Yarrowia lipolytica: one gene and its partners. The protein of the gene in region 1 purifies or fractionates together with the protein of each later gene. This does not show direct contact. Links are inferred from orthologs where the notes say so. Each region holds a gene or a part of one and is shown on either strand. Other genes may lie near its edges. The genes, in order: YALI1_F32792g, YALI1_C12900g, YALI1_A00746g and YALI1_A00325g.

Region 1 (3,575 bases):
TACTGTATGTGATTCTGGGTTACAGTACTTCACTTACTGCTTGCGTGAGTGCTGTAGATATTGGCAAAGATAGGCAGGGTCGTATTCTTGACGAGATTTGCACCTCGTTTTACAGTAACTTCGATCTAGGAGCTTACGTTTGTTTGCGATCGGAACGACTTTGACAAGTGCATGTTGGGGAGGCGAGTGGGGACGCTGTTGTGCCATCATTACTATTTTTACATTTCCAGATCTGAGCGTTTTTAATTTTTTGTGATTTTCGTATGTTTGAATGTCGCCAAATAGGATATGTAGATATGGCACATCGATCTGCCAAGAATGCCGAGGCACGGCAGCTATTTGTAGCCTTCTGGGACCCTAATCAGCGTATGTAATGGCTCAAATGGACCCATATTAAACATAAACTGACTTTGAATAGTGCGATTTGTTCGCTACTCATGTGGGATGGACACGAGAGATACGAGATGTGAAAACATCGTAGTGGCAGAAAGTGAAAGTATCGACATGAGGTGTATAATAATAGGTACTATTGGTTGTATAGCAGGTATAAATGGTGGTCCAGCTGTTAACTATTCATTAGAAGGGAGTTTGTGTATCTCGATGTGGTGAATGAGACACCACGGACCCACTCTTGATTCATTTGTCACAACCATTTGGGACATCATCTCCGCTTAAGTCCGGGATGACATTGGGTCCAGAAAAAAAACAGCTCCCACGGCTCTTGGGACTGTCTAAGAGTTACCCCATCAGTAGATTATATTCATCTTTTGTCTGAAAAAAATGACAGAGATAATCTATATTTCAGCAGCCGATGTCAGTTCCCTTACGTGGTGGTGTGTCGCTACTGGATGAGGGGTCTGCATTGTTGTAAGAGCTGCTCGTCACATGGAAAGGAAGTATGGGAAGTCATTCATCCTTCTGTTCGATTTCTTCAATACGTACAAGAGATCGATCAAGTCGTGTCAAGTTGCTATCGTCCTGGATGAAGTTGTGGGTTTAATCTGGAAGCATTCTGATGATGGACAGTCGAAAAGTTCAAGTATTGAGTAATGCTTTGACAATATGTGGATCACAATCTGTGGATGCCCGTCATGTTTGTGGAAAAATGACTTATCATTTTCCTGCGACTTCAGCATGATATGACCACTCTCAAGGGAAACATTTCAACCTTTGCTCATGCTATACCAAGTCCAAACAGCACACATACCAAGAGAACGGTGAAAGTGTCGCTTTGGAGTACAAGTACCACTCATTGACTTTTTCATGCCTGTAGTTGTACAATGCTCCAGCAAGTGAGATAGTTCCCTCTAGTACTTACACTGACCCACGAAGCCCGTTATTCGTCAGGATTGTGACCTTTTCACACCGCACATTCCAACTACTTCCGGACAAGAAGGCGACTGGTCAGTATGCCCCAAAAGACCATTCCACAAAATACCAGTATATAGGGAGAAGCCCATGAAACACATCCATTCTCTCCATCTCCATGTATTATTCAGTCCCCAACTCGCAGAAAAAAATTACAGTCACGTGTTCCCAATGTGGACATACATTCGATCCCATGGGCTTCAACCGCCACTTTCGCACCTCTGGATGCAAGAAGCCCCACATCACCATTGTCAACAGAGCAACGGTAGAAGCCCGAATGATGGCCGATAGATACGAATTTCATTAGTAATGAACTTGAATAGTGTATCTGCGTGGCGGGCCTTATACCTGTGCTTTTATTCCACAATGTTCAGTGAGATATTAACCTGCAGTACATCCGCGGTTAAATAAGTTTAGTTGGGAGTACTTGTTGTATGTCAACAGACGACCTACTGACTCTGTATTGTAGGGCAACAGTTCGCACAAGTAGACGTTTAGCACATTAATCTTCGAAGTAATGCTTTATCACGTGACATAATCTGCAAAAAGTCATATGACGCTCCTGGGCAATAACATGCAACAAGTCCGGAGAATAAGGCCCATTATTTAGTGCATGGCGATCTTCGAACGCGCACTTCTATAGCTCCATCCATCCATCCCATCACCAAGTCCAAACTCCGTCTACCAATAAGGGTTTAAGGTTCGTCCTTTTTGGGGTCATCTATCCACGTGACCTATTTTAGACGACCCTAAATATAGCTCTAGAAATCGTCATTATGGTTGAATGTTTCTGTCCACATGCCACTACAAGACAAATATTTACCTGGTAATAATTCCCCTACCACATCTTCCGCTCCCACACAGAGTTACCCTGCCTTTAGTCTAGGGTTAGCCCTAAAGACAGTCACAGGCTAACCTAAAGCGGTGCCAAACTTTTCACTACATCAAATCCGCCGGCTCAAAAATCTTAGTTCCTCAGCTCACACTCACGACATCAACAATGGCCGCCACTCAAGCTCAGAACGCCAAGAAGGCTGCCCTCAAGGGTACCAACGGCTCCAAGACCCTCAAGTACCGATCCTCCACCATCTTCCGACGACCCAAGGTCCTTGAGCTCCCCAAGAAGCCCCTGTACCAGCGAAAGGCCGTTGCTCACTACCCCCGAATGGACTCTTACGATGTCATCATCTCTCCCCTTAACACTGAGACTGCCATGAAGAAGATCGAGGACTCCAACACCCTTGTCTTCATTGTCAACAAGAAGGCCAACAAGTACCAGATCCGAGATGCTATCAAGAAGCTCTACGAGGTCGAGATTGCCTCTGTCAACACCCTCATCCGACCCGACGGTAAGAAGAAGGCTTTCGTCCGACTCACCGCCGACCACGATGCTCTTGACATTGCCAACAAGATCGGTTACATCTAAACAACTCTTTTATTAGGGAAGTTACAAAAGGCATTTAGCCATCTCAAAAGGTGTCATTTAGAAAATGCACTAATGAACACATTTGCGAGCAATCGATATTATTTATTGAACGCGAGCCGACGAAGAGGTAGCTCCTCATGCGTCAACTCAACCGTAGCCCCCGTAGCGGAGGTGTGTCCGTGTATTATTGAATATTGAAAACTTTTTCGAGAATCCAAGCTATCATCTCCAGATGCTTTCTCGACCAACGATGGTTTAACTTCCAAAAGAACTTTCAGTTCGAGTTTTACACAATTTCCACCGTCGACGACAGCCATGCGAAACCCTGACGAACCCTGACGAAACCCGTTCAGGCATCCAGTCGAACTGGTCTATAATCTGTCATCTGCCTCGTTAACTAATGTTTGTCAAGCTCACTGCCCGACACCATACATGTGACAACACGATGTCACGGCGATCTTCTCCTCTCTGCTATACGAGTACTTGCACTCCATGTGAACGAGATCAGCCGTGTGCCAAGATCATGTGATTATGGAGAGTACGTTCGGCACTTCTTGGTACTGTACAGTATATTCCCATTGCGTAGCTAAAATATCTATACAAGCTAACTAAGCCAACTCGCCCAATGCGTGTCATTTCTCTCTCTAGATGCATTCTAAGGAGACAATGATAAAGAAGTCGTACCTTTACTAATTCCAGATAAAAGGTACAAGACATGAGTCTAGAGTGTCTGGGACACATGAAAGACAGTGGATTCCAACTTACCACATCTTCAGGTGAC
Region 2 (4,836 bases), on another chromosome or scaffold:
CTATTTGGGCACACGAGGCGCAACATAGCTGGGTGATGGAGTGAAGATGAAGTATCATTTGTGGCCTAATTTCAAAGCTCTGATCAACGCCGACATTTTGCAACTTTCAGAATTCCTTTCTCTCAACTACTGACAGACTTAGCAGGCCTGAGTGATGCAGCCATGGTGAAAAAGTGAAAAACACGAACCAGTAAAATAGAGCGCTGGAATGGATAACCAAGTCCGTCCAACACGTGTAATTGTACAATACTTGTGCTTGTACCATTAATGACGGACTTTTCCAGCATCTCTGTCGCTCTCGTCAATGGGCTTCGTATAATTGCAGTCATAGAACTGACACCATATAGAGCCACTTACTGTGGTTAAAATGCTCCACTCACTCTCTCACTCTCTCCAACTCACCCAATGATGGCCCGATCAGAAAAAGGAAACAACCATCACACTCCTCTCGTTGCACAGATGACTCTCCCATTTCCCGCTTCCATCTACCACCAATATTCGCAGCACAATGGCCCCCTTACTCCTGTCCTATGAACTCAATCCTCGGGTTGGTTATGCTTATAATTAACATTATCAAAATATCTCAATACAATCACTACAAGTACGCACCATGATGCTACAAACTACCGGCTTCATACTCATGTACAGGGCAACAACCACGGCTATGGTCATGGTCGGTTGCAGTTTCATAATTCGCTCGATTGATTACTCATCGTTCGTTTTGTCAGCCATGCGACTGTTCATTCAAAAGACTTGATTCAAAACCTGTCAAAAGGACACGGTTGTCCGCTTAGGCGCCAAGGGCGGGGAAGTCAGAGGCGGAAGAGAGGTTGACGGAGGGAGCCTTTCGCTCCTGGGTTCGGAAACCCTTCTTGTCACCACCTCGCTTGCCGTCTCGGCCACCTCGGTTCTCTCGGGGGGCTCGGTCGGATCGGTCACCTCGAGACTCTCGGTTGGCGGGGAAGGCAGGCTCAATCTCGAGCAGAACCTTCTCCTTTCGGGCTCGGGTTCGCACGTTCTTGGCCTTGGTGCCGGCAACGAGATCGGCAACCTCGTCCTTGTCGAGCTTGGAAGCCTCGGAGTACTTGGACTCGGCGCCGGCGTTGGCCTGTCGGACAGATCGGCCGGAAGCAAGCTTGGCGGTGGCAGCCTTCTGCTCGGCAAGGTACTCCTCCAGAGTCTTGGTGTTGTCAGGCTCCTCAACAGGGGCCTCGACGGGGGTCTCGGGCTCGGCCTCGTCCTTGGTGGCGATGGCGTCACCGGCCTTCTCGTCAGCGAGCTTGCCCTTGGAGTCGCCCCATCCCTTGCCAACCTTCTTGGCAGAGTCGGACTTGCCGGTCTGGGATCGTCGGTCAGGTCGGGGGTTTCGGGCAGGCTTGCCCTTCTTCTCAGCCTGGGGCTCGGTGGACTTGGACCGGTTCTGGTCCCGCAGGGGCTGGTTGGACTTCTTGGAAGCACCGATGGCAGCGCCGGGGTCCTTGGGGGCGGCGTTCTTCTTGGAAGAGCCGGAGTTCTTGGTGAGCTCCTTGGTCACAATGACCTTGTTGGAGTCCTCCTCCACGTTGCCGAGGATTTCGTATAGGTTCTGGGTTAGCACGGAAGATGCAAGAGCGCACAAGCGGAGCGAGCGCGAGCGGGCAGTAAATGAGTCACAAACAATTCGCAACGGAGTCGCAAGGAGACGTCGCAGTCAACACAGGCAACTCGCTTGCTGCTCGTCTGCGAGTCGACTTGCAGGCAGCGGCCCCAGGCTTCCCCTCACCAAGTGGGGTAGCCAGGAAGAGACATCGCCATGTGAAGGAGGTCGACGGCGATTCGACGGCGACCTGGCAAGCTGGCAAGCTGGGCTCTGGAGATGGCCGGCTATGCTCAGCCCGGGAATCACACGGTCCGCCCACCGGTCCGAGGCGTCTGGAGAAGACCCATGGTTGGAGTGTGGTGATGCGCATGAGGAAGAGATACATGCCCGGCGAATGATGGCACTGGCCACGTAGATAGCACAAGCACTTCGGATTGGTGGGATGGTTGTGGTTGACGCTGCTGACCACTGACTACTATGGACGTAGGTCCGTCGGATCGTCTGATTGCGACATCCCCGCACCTCCATCGTTCAGTGTGAACGGGTCATTTTGGGATTGTGGTTGGTTGCGATATCATCGACGCTGCCCTTGAGGCCACGTCTCCACATTGCCCACACCACTAGGTGGACATGGGGCCGTTGGGTGCAATGATCTGACAACACCAAATGTGCATCTCCACCGACCCAAACAGCACCAACACAAGCCAAGCAGCCAAAAACACAATCGACCCCGTAATCAACAAACCCCTTGACGCCATCCATCATCAGCTTCTCCTCCGTCACACCTGCGACACCACATCCCACATCTCTGCCACGTGCCCCACGGGACACCTCCACCCATGTCAGTCACACATGACCCACATGTGGGGTTGGATGATCCTCGGTGTTTGGCCGCTGGGGCGTGGCCGCCGGGTCCCGCTTTCACGGCCCCCCCAACCCCTCTTGTCTTCAAATACTCACCTTGGAGACAGACATGTTAGCAGCCCTCTATTATCCTCGTGTTTGGACACTTAAAATTTGGAGCAACAGCAAAGTGAAAATTTCACCGACAAGTGTGAGTGGGTTGGCGCTGGCCCAATGGGGGAAGGTAGGGTAAGAGGAGGTGACGTAGGGTAAGTCCCGTGATGCGATCCCCCTCACGAGCGGGGGGCCCAGTCCTAGCCCGACGTGATGCCTCCGACCAAAGCGGCCACGGAGAATCGATTGGCCCTCTCAGATTGGTCACTAGACCGCTCCCTGGGCCCCTTTGGAACCTGTCTCCGCACCTCTTGGGACCTGGGTGTACTTTAGTCTACAAACCTAAGGCTCCAAAGTTTGCTGTGAGGAGTATGCAGGTGCGATAGAGGCAGGTGTAACCAGCCGGTGGAGTGGCAAGGAGAGATTGGAGAGAGTCACGTGACAAGGACGTTGAGTGGGCCGGCAGAGACGTTTTTTTATTATTTTTTTGTCCTTTTTTGAGAGTGTTTTGGTCTTGGTTGGTCTTGGTTGGTCATGGTTTTGGCTTGGTCTTTTCAGCTTGGCTGTATCGCCTGATCTGTCTGCTAGAAGTATGATCAACAGTAATCAGTGCACGAGGAGGGGAGGAGGACAGAGGGAGGACAGAGGGGCAGAGAGGACGGAGGAGAGAGAGGGGGGAGGACTCTCGATAGAAGGGACGAGAAGGATGTCGTAAATTGTCAGTCGGACGGATTTAACGGGTACTGTGTGTACTTATCTTGTATATTCCGTTTATCCTGGTCAGCTCTGGAACTTTTCAGCATACTGAACTGTCCTCTCCAAACTACAGTACGACGACCGTACACCAGCGGCTGTCACTACTACTGTACTGTACATACTGTACTTGTGGCCATCTGGTGTCACTACTTGCGGCCATGGTCGTCCTGAAAGATGGATGGGGCCTGATGATTGTAGGACTACTGTTATGTACTTGCAGTCCCACTTTTAGAGCAAGTCTCACTCCAAACCTACACCTTTGGAAAATGTGGGGGAGTCACTTGAAGGTTTATTGTAGTTGGTGCGTAGGCAGTTGGCCAATGGAATGGTTGGTGAGGTCAGAGGGGTGATGGGGAGGGAGTCACAGAGAGGGAGTCACGTGCCATGGAGTTGGGTGTCGATATGTTCACGTGACGCAGGACCCTCACAGCTTCCGATCCTCACAGCTTCCGATCTGGGCGGAGTTGTCTTCTCATGATTGAATTAGACCATCATCTACGGGACAGCACGGACTGTTTCCAGAGAAGTTGACTATTAGTACTTGGGTTGGCTGATTGTATAGCACCAACCAATCAAACAACCAACCAAATCAGCAACAGGACCGATAAAACGCAATCACTCAATGAGCAGCTCATGAGCCATCCTGATGAGTAAGCTGATTGGAGACAACCTTGTAGAAAGACTGTCTTCAGGTGGAATAGATGGTTTGTCAAAATGCTTCTATGCTGGTACTAGTACTCCCTCAACTTCACCAACGCGCCTGTATCATGTCACCTTGTTGTTGTCGTCAAAAAGCCGATATTATCTGTACGATAACCGACTTTGTGGCTCTCATTGGCCGTCCCCACACCCTTATCTCCGCTTCTAACGCCTAAAGAGTGAGTGCGTTATGGAGTGCGTTCGGAGGTGGTCAGGGTCCGGATCCCCATGGCGGGAGTGAGGTTATTCAGTGAGGAGATGATGAAGATGGACAAGTGGCCACCATGTATGGACGAATTCCACTCACGCAGCTTCATCGGACCCCATGAGCCCTGCTCCACACACTCACTGAAATCACATTCACAACCTGCAGAGAGACCACATATCTTTTTGCTCGCGTTTTTGCCCGTTTTTGCCCGCTTTGCCTGCGTTGCCCGCCTTGCCTGCGTTGCCCGTTTTGCTCGCTTTCCCGCCTTGCCTGCTTTGCCCGCAGCTTTGCCCGCAGTTTTTCTCGCAACTGCTTTGGAGCTCGCACAGTCCATCACCCTGGCGCATCTGCCATGCGCGACAATGTCGATTCAGGCCTTTTTTTCAGGCCAAACCTGACGACTCTGTAGCCACGGAAAAGCTATCCGCACAATTCGGATCTTTCGGAAGAGGCCGTGCAGAGAGTCAGAGAGGAAAGACGACAGACAGGGTACCCCACAGCAAGGGTCGTTGAAGCACAACCAACTCTTGTACGAGTACTGTAGCTCCATAGCGCGCAGCACCACCACTTGCTCCGATGGAGTTGGGTAGTGGTCCTTGACATGGCTACACACTTGCTCTCTGAATGTGCACTAGTA
Region 3 (4,490 bases), on another chromosome or scaffold:
GAGAAGAAGCGGGACAACTCCGAGACGCTGCTTCGAGACATCTCGTCGATGGAGTCGCAGCTGGAGTCGTATAACTCGGAGTTGGTGTCCGAGTTCAGCTCGCAGTTGTCTTCTGCTCAGCAGCAAGAGCTCGAGCGGGTCTGCGAGACTCTTCCTGGCCTGTCTGCCTCGGTCGCCGAGCTTCAACAGAAGGTGTCTGCTCTGGAAATGACCCGTCTGAGTCTCGAGAACGAGCTACAGCAGAACTTGTACCTGTCTCGAGACGACATGGAGCTGCAACACAACGGCGACTTTGATGCTGCCGAGCTGGCCGAGAAGGCTGCCACGCTTACCCGCAAGCTTGCTCAGATGGAGGAGCAGTTGTCGGAGGCTGCCAGCAAGCAATTGTCGACTGAGAAAGCACTGGAGACCGCGGAGCAGCAGGTGGCAAACGACGAGGCTCACCTCGCCGAGCTCAAGGATGAGCAGGCCCAGAGTCTGCGAAAGCTGTCCAAGTTTGCAAAGGCTGCCGAGCGAGTTGCAGCCAAGCGACAGGCCCTTGAACAGCGACGAGAGCATGTGCAGGCCAAGATTCGAGAGATTGGTATTCTGCCCGACGATGCTTTCCTCGATGTGTCTGCCCAGAGCGACGGCGACATGATGCAGGAGTTCAGAGAGGTGTCTGACGAGCTCAAGAAGTTTGGCCACGTCAATCGGAAAGCTCTGGAGCAATTTGCGACGTTTAGCAAGGACCGAGATCGACTTCTTTCACGTCGACAGAACCTCATGGAGTCTGCAGAGTCCATTGAGGAGCTAATTTCCACTCTTAACGACCAGAAGGACCGAGCAATCAAGCGAACGTTCCAGCAAGTGTCCAAGGAATTCTCCGAGGTGTTCCAACAGCTTGTGCCTCGAGGAAAGGGTCAGCTGGTGATCGAGCGACGGGCTCTGGACGACCAGAACCCTGACTCGTACACTGGAGTGGCGATCAACGTGTCGTTCAACTCGACGGAGAACGAGCAGCAGCGAGTGGAGCAGCTGTCGGGAGGTCAAAAGTCGCTGTGTGCGTTGGCGCTCATTTTCGCCATCCAGCGGTCCGATCCTGCCCCCTTTTACCTGTTTGACGAGATTGACGCTAATCTTGACGATCAGTATCGAACTGCTGTGGCGCAGGTGATTTCCCAGATTGCCAACGCTCCTCAGCCTACACAGTTCATTTGCACCACGTTCCGAAATGAGATGATTCACGTGGCTGACAAGTTTTACGGAGTCTTATTCAACAACAAGATTTCTACGGTGAAGAGTATTACTCGGGAGGATGCGCTGACGTTTGTTGATGGACAGAAGGCCTAGATGACGAGTGCTAAGCGAGTAACGGGCGAAGCGAATGGCGCGCGCAGCTAGTGGTGAAGTCTGAACTCAGTGGTTTGGCCTGCACATTAAGCAGGACTGGTCCAAGGGGACCTACTTATGAAAAGAATGGGTTTTGTATATGTTTATGGTAATTATTATTTAAGTGATAAGAGAGTGCGTATAGGAGAGAACAAGTATCAAGATCACCAAACGGCCCAGGGGCTCACTCTGATTCGAATCATATCAGTAAATATCCGTTCTACTTATAGAGGTATTGTTTCTACTGTATTGTACCTTGGATTGAAAGTGAAACGCCCCCTAGCGTATCTCTCAACTGGACTGTAGGATGTCTCCAATGTGAAGTTTGTGAGAAGTAGCATGACATATTCAAGTCTGTCGGATATTTTTTTCAGGACTGTATTGGTAGTGTGAGTTAGGGTGCAGTCTGGGAGTGTGGGGGAAGGCATTCAAAGTAGCCAGAAACGATCATGTGACGTGAAATGGCACGTAGAACGGCAAAAAATGAATGAGTAAGTCACAATAGCCCAAAAAGAGCTCCTAATCTGACTACACAACGACATACTAGTCTCACTTCTCTACAGCAGCAGTTTTCAGGCCCCGTTGCTTAATAAGATTGAAAAAACCTTAATCTGACATTTTGGTAAAACTTTTACCCTTACCAACTCTCTCCTTCACACCAGCACAACAACACCATGTCTCTGCCTACTCTTCCTTCCGGATGGGCTTCTGCCAACTCCGAGGGCTTTGTTGCCCACTCCGCCTTCACCTCTCCTGTCAAGCGACAGATTGAGCCCGTTGGACCCGGGTTCCTGGCCCATGCGCGACGAACTCTGCGAGGCCGAACTTGGTCTGAGGACGAGAAGGAGGAGGCCGCCAAGAACGTCAAGCAGGTCGAGGGCGAGGATGAGGACGCCGATCTCGGCGACGAGCCTGAAGACATTGAGGATCTCGAGCGAGAGGCCAAGGACTGGAAGTCTCAGGACCATTACAGAGTTCTGGGTATCTCTCACCTTCGACACCGAGCTACTGAGGACCAGATCCGACGGGCCCACCGAAAGCGAGTGCTCAAGCATCACCCCGATAAGAAGGCCGCCTCCGGCTCCAAGCTCGACGAGGACGACTTCTTCAAGTGTATCCAGAAGGCGTTTGAGGTTCTGATGGACTCCAACCGACGACGACAGTACGACTCCGTCGACGAGGCTGCCAATGTGGAGCAGCCCACCAAGAAGGAGACCACCGCCGAGAACTTCATCGAGCTGTGGGGTCCCTTCTTCGACTCCGAGATCCGATTCTCCAAGACCCAGCCCTGTCCTTCTCTTGGTACCATGGAGTCTTCCAAGGCCGAGGTGGAGGGCTTCTACGCCGCCATGTACTCCTTCGACTCGTGGAGAACCTTTGAGTACCTCGACGAGGATGTTCCCGATGACTCTTCCAACCGAGACCACAAGCGATACATTGAGAAGAAGAACAAGGCCCAGCGACAGAAGCACAAGACCGAGGACACTGCCCGATTCCGAGAGGCCGTTGACCTTGCTCTGTCCCTCGATCCCCGAATCAAGATGTTCAAGGAGGCCGACAAGAAGGCCAAGGAGGCCAAGAAGTGGGAGAAGGAGGCCGGTGCCCGAGAGGCCGCTGCTAAGGCCGCAAAGGAGGCCGAGGAGGCTGCTGCCAAGGCCAAGAAGGAGGCTGAGGAGGCTGCCGCCAACAAGGAGAACGCCAAGAAGTCCAAGGAGGCTGCCAAGTCCGCCAAGAAGAAGAACAAGCGAGCTGTGCGAAACGCCGCCAAGGACAACGGCTACTTCGGCGACGAGGCCAAGTCTGCCGATATTGACATCGATCTCGATGCTCTGCTCAACCGAATTGACGACCTTGCTCTCGGTGATCTTGCTGCTGCTCTTGACGGTGCTGATGCCGCCAAGGCCAAGGCTACCATCACTGAGGCCGCCGCTAAGGCCGGAGGTGACTATGCCTACTTCTCTTAGGTAGTTCTGACCTAGGGCAGGATCCACCCCGCCTAATCTATAGTTCATACAAGTAGAATAGATCTAGAGTACTGTCACTGACTTGGATACATGTGTAAAGCACAAACAGATGTAGATGATCGACCAAAGGGACTTTATGGGAGGATCTCAGACTGGTCAAGTGCTGTTGTGTCAAACCAGGGGTGTAGGTGTTGAGTATCAGTACAAGAAATGTGGATGCACGTGTGATGCTTATACTGGATACTCAGGACGGACCAATTGAGATCTTTACGGGCTTGTTTGAGTCTTTGTGACCACCTACCGGTCCTACTTCTTGGATGTGACTGCGGTTTAGCAGGTCCATCATTCTATTGGTCTCCACTCTGACATGCAACCGCTGCTGGAAGATCTACAAGAAGGGCACTTTAGATAGATACGTGGAGTTCAGATACGTGGAGTTCAGAGACGGGGAGTTCAGAGACGGGGAGTTGAGAACGTGGAGGATATTCAGAGACTGTTATGTTTCTACCCACTAATACGGCTATTCATGGCAAGCACCTGTGAGCGCTGGACTGATCTAAAGAATGTCAAGTACATCCGGTACATTAGCATAAGCATGTGTCAAAGGGGGTTCTTGATGACATTGGGTGTACAAAGTGGCAGTGTATCTTTTAGTTCAATCTCTGCGTGGCGTGACAGCGTATCCTTTAGTGCCATCTCTGGATGGTGTGACTACATGTGTTGCAAGGACAGTACGTTGTTTGTTATCAGTACTTAGCTGGCTCAACTGTTTTAATGGGAGATCAGTTCACCCTTAACGCACAGTTCTAACTATAAGAAGAGTTCACAACTAATACCAAGTATTTAATCGTTTGAAGAAACTGTACCGTACGTTCCATCAGATCTTCCACAGGAAAATCGAGTTGCAAGACTGATAAGATGATCAGCTAGTACTTTTTATTGGCAATATGTCATCTATCGATTTATTCTATCATATAGTTGTACAAGTACAGGTTTCGATCCATCGACGATACAGTGGACATTCTTCTCCACTAACCGCACCCTACGACTCTCCAAAGCGGCTGAAAGAATGCAAAGAATGCCAGTCGACCTGAGAGATGACATCCAGGGGGGCACGGGAACCTCGGAATGCTGAGAAGCGGAACTTTTAGCGCC
Region 4 (4,505 bases), on another chromosome or scaffold:
GGCTCTCGTAGTTCACAGTTTTATCTTGGCGCTGTCGTGTTGTGTTATCGGCATCGTCGGCTGGCGGCTGTAGTTCTGGCATGTTGCTGCTCGGACTGGCTCTTGCTCTCGCGGTTTGGCGAGTTGGGCACAAACGCTTTGCTCAAGGACGGTCTTCGCAGACGTTCATGCTCAGACGAAACAAGCTGGATCTGGATCAGGTTTGGATCGTGTGTCACCTGTTCTCTTGACCGAGAGTCCTGGTGTGCTGATACCAAGTCAACAGCAGATGGAGCGAGCAGACATATGATTATTCAACCGACAGTCCATCCCTCCAAAGCATTCAGTTGTCATCTCGGTGGATGACTCAGCAGCCCCGCCGCCCTTCTCACTAATCAAAGCGACAATTCCTCGTCCGAGATATGACCCAAACTCACTCAACATGGTTCTGGTGTTCCCTCTGGACATATTGCTGGTCTTTCTGCACCTTGGGTCCTCGACAATGGCCGGAAACGCCCCTTTGGCTGGAAACGTCCCTTTGGCTGCCTGATGACTCCTTTATCAGAGTGTATGCTTGTCCCTCATCCAACCACGTCTCGCCTGGATGAGGGGCCTGAGCTCCCGAGTGATAAAGGTGTCTCGCAAGTGTGGACTTGGTTGAAATGAGACAACGCTTTCCTTCAATGCTTTTGGTACTGTACGCACATGTTGGAGACGTTTGAATCGTCGTCATTTCAACACATTGACAGTGGAGTCTGTGTACCAACGATGACTGTCTACTGGTGGTCGTCATGACTGATTCATCACAGAACCAATGCACCAGAGATGTGTTGTAGCTAGAATTTTGCCACTACTACCTACATTCACCCTTCTCTCTACAGTACTGTATGTATATCCTATCATGATATATTCACTACTCTGGTGAGCGTTAGCTGTGTGTCCATCAGGACACCGCTGAGACCGGGTATGGAGGGTTGTCAGTGTCCGGAGCTCTGTCCTGATGTCTGGAGCTCTGACCCGGTCTCTTCCGGTCCATCCCAGTCTGTTTCGGTCCATCCCGGTCTCTTTGAGATCTATCCCAATCTCTTTTTTGGTCTGTCCGGTCGGATCCTTCTCATCTTCATCTTCACCTCCTCTTTTCTTGTGCTGACTGCTCAGTGTTTGCCAGGATCCAGACTATCTCTTCAGAATAGTGACAACATCCTCGTCCATCAACTCATGGGCCAAACCAACATACTGGGGCTGGTGCTTGACCGACTGACCGTAGACACATGCCGTCTTAAACTCCTCAACCAGACTCTTGTGGATCTGGTTACAGAAATGCTGGACGGTCGACCGACCATTCCGCAGAATGATGGGCTGCTCGTAGTCGGGCTGCTGGCCCTTGGGCTTGGTGTAGACCCGAACGAGGTTGAGTTTCTTCCACATTTCCTCCAGCAGCTCGTCCAGGTTCCAGCCATGCTCCGACGAAATGGGCACCGCGTTAGGGATTCGGTAAAGCAGATCCAACTCCTCAATGGAAATGCTGTCAATCTTGTTGAGACAATAAATGACCGAAATGTAGCGTCGGTTCTGCGCCTCGAGAATGTCAATGAGCTCGTCGACAGTGGCATCGCATCGGAAATGGATGTCAGCAGAATTGATTCGATACTCGCCCATCACCGCCCGAATCTCGTCATTGTCCAAATGGGTCAGAGGAACCGTGTTGGTGATGTTGATTCCACCCCGCTCCTTCTTCTTGAACAAAATGTTAGGAGGCTCCTTATTGATTCGAATACCAAATCCCTCCAGCTCCCGCTCAATGATCTTTTTGTGCTCCAGCGGCTTGTTCACATCCAGCACCACAAAAATCAGGTTGCACGTTCGAGCCACCGCAATCACCTGTCGACCTCGACCCTTACCATCCTTGGCTCCCTCGATAATTCCAGGAAGATCCAGCATCTGGATCTTGGCACCACGATACATAATCACTCCGGGAACAGTGGTCAGCGTGGTGAACTCATACGCCGCTGCCTCTGAATGAGTACCAGTCAACTTGGACAGTAAAGTCGACTTTCCAACCGAAGGAAACCCGATAAATCCAACCGAAGCAACACCAGTTCGAGCCACATCGAACCCAGCGCCTCCGCCACCACCTCCAGAGGAAGTGGGAGTCAACAGCTCTCGCTTCAACTTGGCCAACTTGGCCTTCAGCTGACCCAGATGGAACGAAGTCGCCTTGTTCTTCTGGGTCCGAGCCATCTCCTCCTCGATGTTTTTGATCTTTTCCACCGTTGTCGACATTTTGTTTTTTTTTGTGCAGTTGTAAAGGAGTGAATGGTTGAGTGCAAATCAATCGCTTATCTTTGAGGTTTGCTCTGTATCCATAAAGTGAAAATTTGAGATCACGTGAGTTACCCGGCGTGGCTAGTAATAAATTACAGTTTACTCGGTTTAGGGTTGTTGGGTTTAGGGCAGGGTTAGGTGGTTTGGGGGGTTGGGGTTTCCACTTCAAGACTGAATGTCGTTGAAGAATGGGCACGGGCACAATCAAACACATGTCATTATGGGAAAAAAGAATCTCAACCTCCCATATATAGCTTTCTGTATTATGTGAATATAATAAAATCGTTGGGTTGCTACGTTTCGGGTATCTTTCTACTGTAGGGCTGGGGTTAAAAGTTGAAGTATCTGTATTAGGGTTTGGTACTATGAATATCTCTAAATCACGTGTGTAGGTTGATGTGATTTGTAGAAAATGTATCGCAAAAACAAAAAGGTCATCTGGTTTTTATGTCTCCCGGCTTTACTTTGTAGACCCTTTTAATTCTTCTTTTATTCCTTCTTTTTATTTCTGTTTTTTCCCCCTTTTTAAAATAAATATATTAGAGCACATATCGACCTGATTTTGAGTGTATAATTAAATGACAAAGGTTGGCTAGATTTGGACATGGAAAAAGGGGGATCCGCAAAATAGAACCAGAGGTGCTATACTTGTACAAGTACTTGACGGACAGATTGTCAGGTGATAATTATTACCCGTCATAATCTGTATATCATTTTACACTGCTTGCTATTCATAACCTAAGGAGATGAGTTTGCCGTAATCTGAACATTAAGAGGTTTAGAATGGCATATTTTACAGGGAATTGGGGACAGACTGGAGACGGACATGGTGGCCATTTCTGCGACACTGGTTAGTTGGTGTTGAGGTACTGTAGTCCCAAAATTTAGTCATAACCTCTGCGACACACTCTTAATCTCTGATCTCCTCCGGGGCTGATTTCGTCGGGTGCAGACCAGGTCAGGGGAACGGGGAAGCCCTGCGATGTCGGATGAGTCATTTTTTCGGAGACGAATGTCGAGTCACGTGACCAGGCGAAGAGTCAACTGGAATTTCGATTGAGTCACATTCAGTCATGGAATTAAACGGGAAAAATAAAGATGGGATATACCGAAAATTGGAAAAAAAAAAAACAAAAAAAACCACCACAACGAATATCAGTATTTCGGGCTTTTTTATTTTTTATTATTTTAATTTATCTTCGACTACTGCAGTTATTGCGTGTTTATATAATGAGTGATAAATAAATGATGAAGAAATCCACTCGAAAAACATGATTTTCCCCGGCAGAAATTCGGGGGAAAAAAAGATTAAAAAAAAAGTCTGGAAAAACACCGGATGAAAAATTTGTGAAAAAATCGATGAAAAAAGTGAAGAAAAAAGCCAAGGAAAAATGTTGGAAATTCTGGGATAAAAAGGGGGCAAAAATTGTGATTTCCCTCCCGGTAATAATATGTCAGAGTTTTGTTTTGTTTTCATTTTCTTCATTTTCTTGTCTCCAATTCACGTGACAGTGAGTCACCTACCATAAACCAACGAGCCCTAACCTGTGAAATTTTGCATTAAATCTACCCTAGCAACACCCACTCGGATTCACCGACACAAACACAATGAATTTCTCCAAGGAGGAAGAAGCGGTGCTCAAGTTCTGGGAGGAGATTGATGCCTTCCAGACGTCACTCAAGCTCAATGCTGACAAGCCCCATTTCACCTTCTACGATGGGCCTCCGTTTGCCACTGGCACTCCGCACTATGGCCACATTTTGGCGTCGACCATCAAGGACATTGTGCCACGATATGCCCATATGACTGGGCATCATGTGGAGCGACGGTTTGGCTGGGACACGCATGGGCTTCCTGTGGAACACGAGATTGACAAGAAGCTGGATATCAAGGGCAAGGAAGACGTGATGAAGTTTGGTCTGGCCAACTACAACGAGGAGTGTCGAGCCATTGTGATGCGATATGCTGGGGAGTGGCGCAAGACGATTGGTCGGCTGGGTCGATGGATCGACTTTGACAACGACTACAAGACGCTGCAGACGTCGTTCATGGAGTCGGTTTGGTGGGTGTTTCAGGAGCTGTACAAGAAGGACGCTGTCTACCGGGGCCATCGAGTCATGCCCTACTCCACCGCTCTGTGCACGCCCATTGCCAACTTTGAGGCTGCTCAGAACTACAAGGAGGTGCTGGATCCCGCGGT

What was found.
Region 2: the proteins of YALI1_F32792g (region 1) and YALI1_C12900g purify together in Saccharomyces cerevisiae (affinity purification with mass spectrometry; 4 studies listed by BioGRID). This does not show direct contact. The link is inferred for Yarrowia lipolytica from reciprocal best matches to the Saccharomyces cerevisiae genes RPL25 and STM1.
Region 3: the proteins of YALI1_F32792g (region 1) and YALI1_A00746g purify together in Saccharomyces cerevisiae (affinity purification with mass spectrometry; 3 studies listed by BioGRID). This does not show direct contact. The link is inferred for Yarrowia lipolytica from reciprocal best matches to the Saccharomyces cerevisiae genes RPL25 and ZUO1.
Region 4: the proteins of YALI1_F32792g (region 1) and YALI1_A00325g purify together in Saccharomyces cerevisiae (affinity purification with mass spectrometry; 3 studies listed by BioGRID, with this or other methods). This does not show direct contact. The link is inferred for Yarrowia lipolytica from reciprocal best matches to the Saccharomyces cerevisiae genes RPL25 and RBG1.

Annotation. Positions count from the first base shown.
Region 1 is NC_090775.1:3,278,025-3,281,599, reverse strand, and holds YALI1_F32792g (60S ribosomal protein uL23), read left to right. Parts: upstream 1-2,368; coding exon 2,369-2,794; downstream 2,795-3,575. Other genes in the region: YALI1_F32816g (uncharacterized protein), read left to right, coding at 1-164. UniProt on the Saccharomyces cerevisiae protein: Component of the ribosome, a large ribonucleoprotein complex responsible for the synthesis of proteins in the cell.
Region 2 is NC_090772.1:1,288,495-1,293,330, forward strand, and holds YALI1_C12900g (uncharacterized protein), read right to left. Parts: upstream 2,555-4,836; coding exon 2,540-2,554; intron 1,586-2,539; coding exon 791-1,585; downstream 1-790. UniProt on the Saccharomyces cerevisiae protein: Ribosome preservation factor that protect a small pool of nontranslating, vacant ribosomes in cells under nutrient starvation conditions.
Region 3 is NC_090770.1:72,229-76,718, reverse strand, and holds YALI1_A00746g (uncharacterized protein), read left to right. Parts: upstream 1-2,045; coding exon 2,046-3,335; downstream 3,336-4,490. Other genes in the region: YALI1_A00789g (uncharacterized protein), read left to right, coding at 1-1,332. UniProt on the Saccharomyces cerevisiae protein: Component of the ribosome-associated complex (RAC), a heterodimeric chaperone complex involved in regulation of accurate translation termination and in folding or maintaining nascent polypeptides in a folding-competent state.
Region 4 is NC_090770.1:30,356-34,860, reverse strand, and holds YALI1_A00325g (uncharacterized protein), read right to left. Parts: upstream 2,263-4,505; coding exon 1,156-2,262; downstream 1-1,155. Other genes in the region: YALI1_A00309g (uncharacterized protein), read left to right, coding at 3,913-4,505. UniProt on the Saccharomyces cerevisiae protein: Involved in ribosomal function.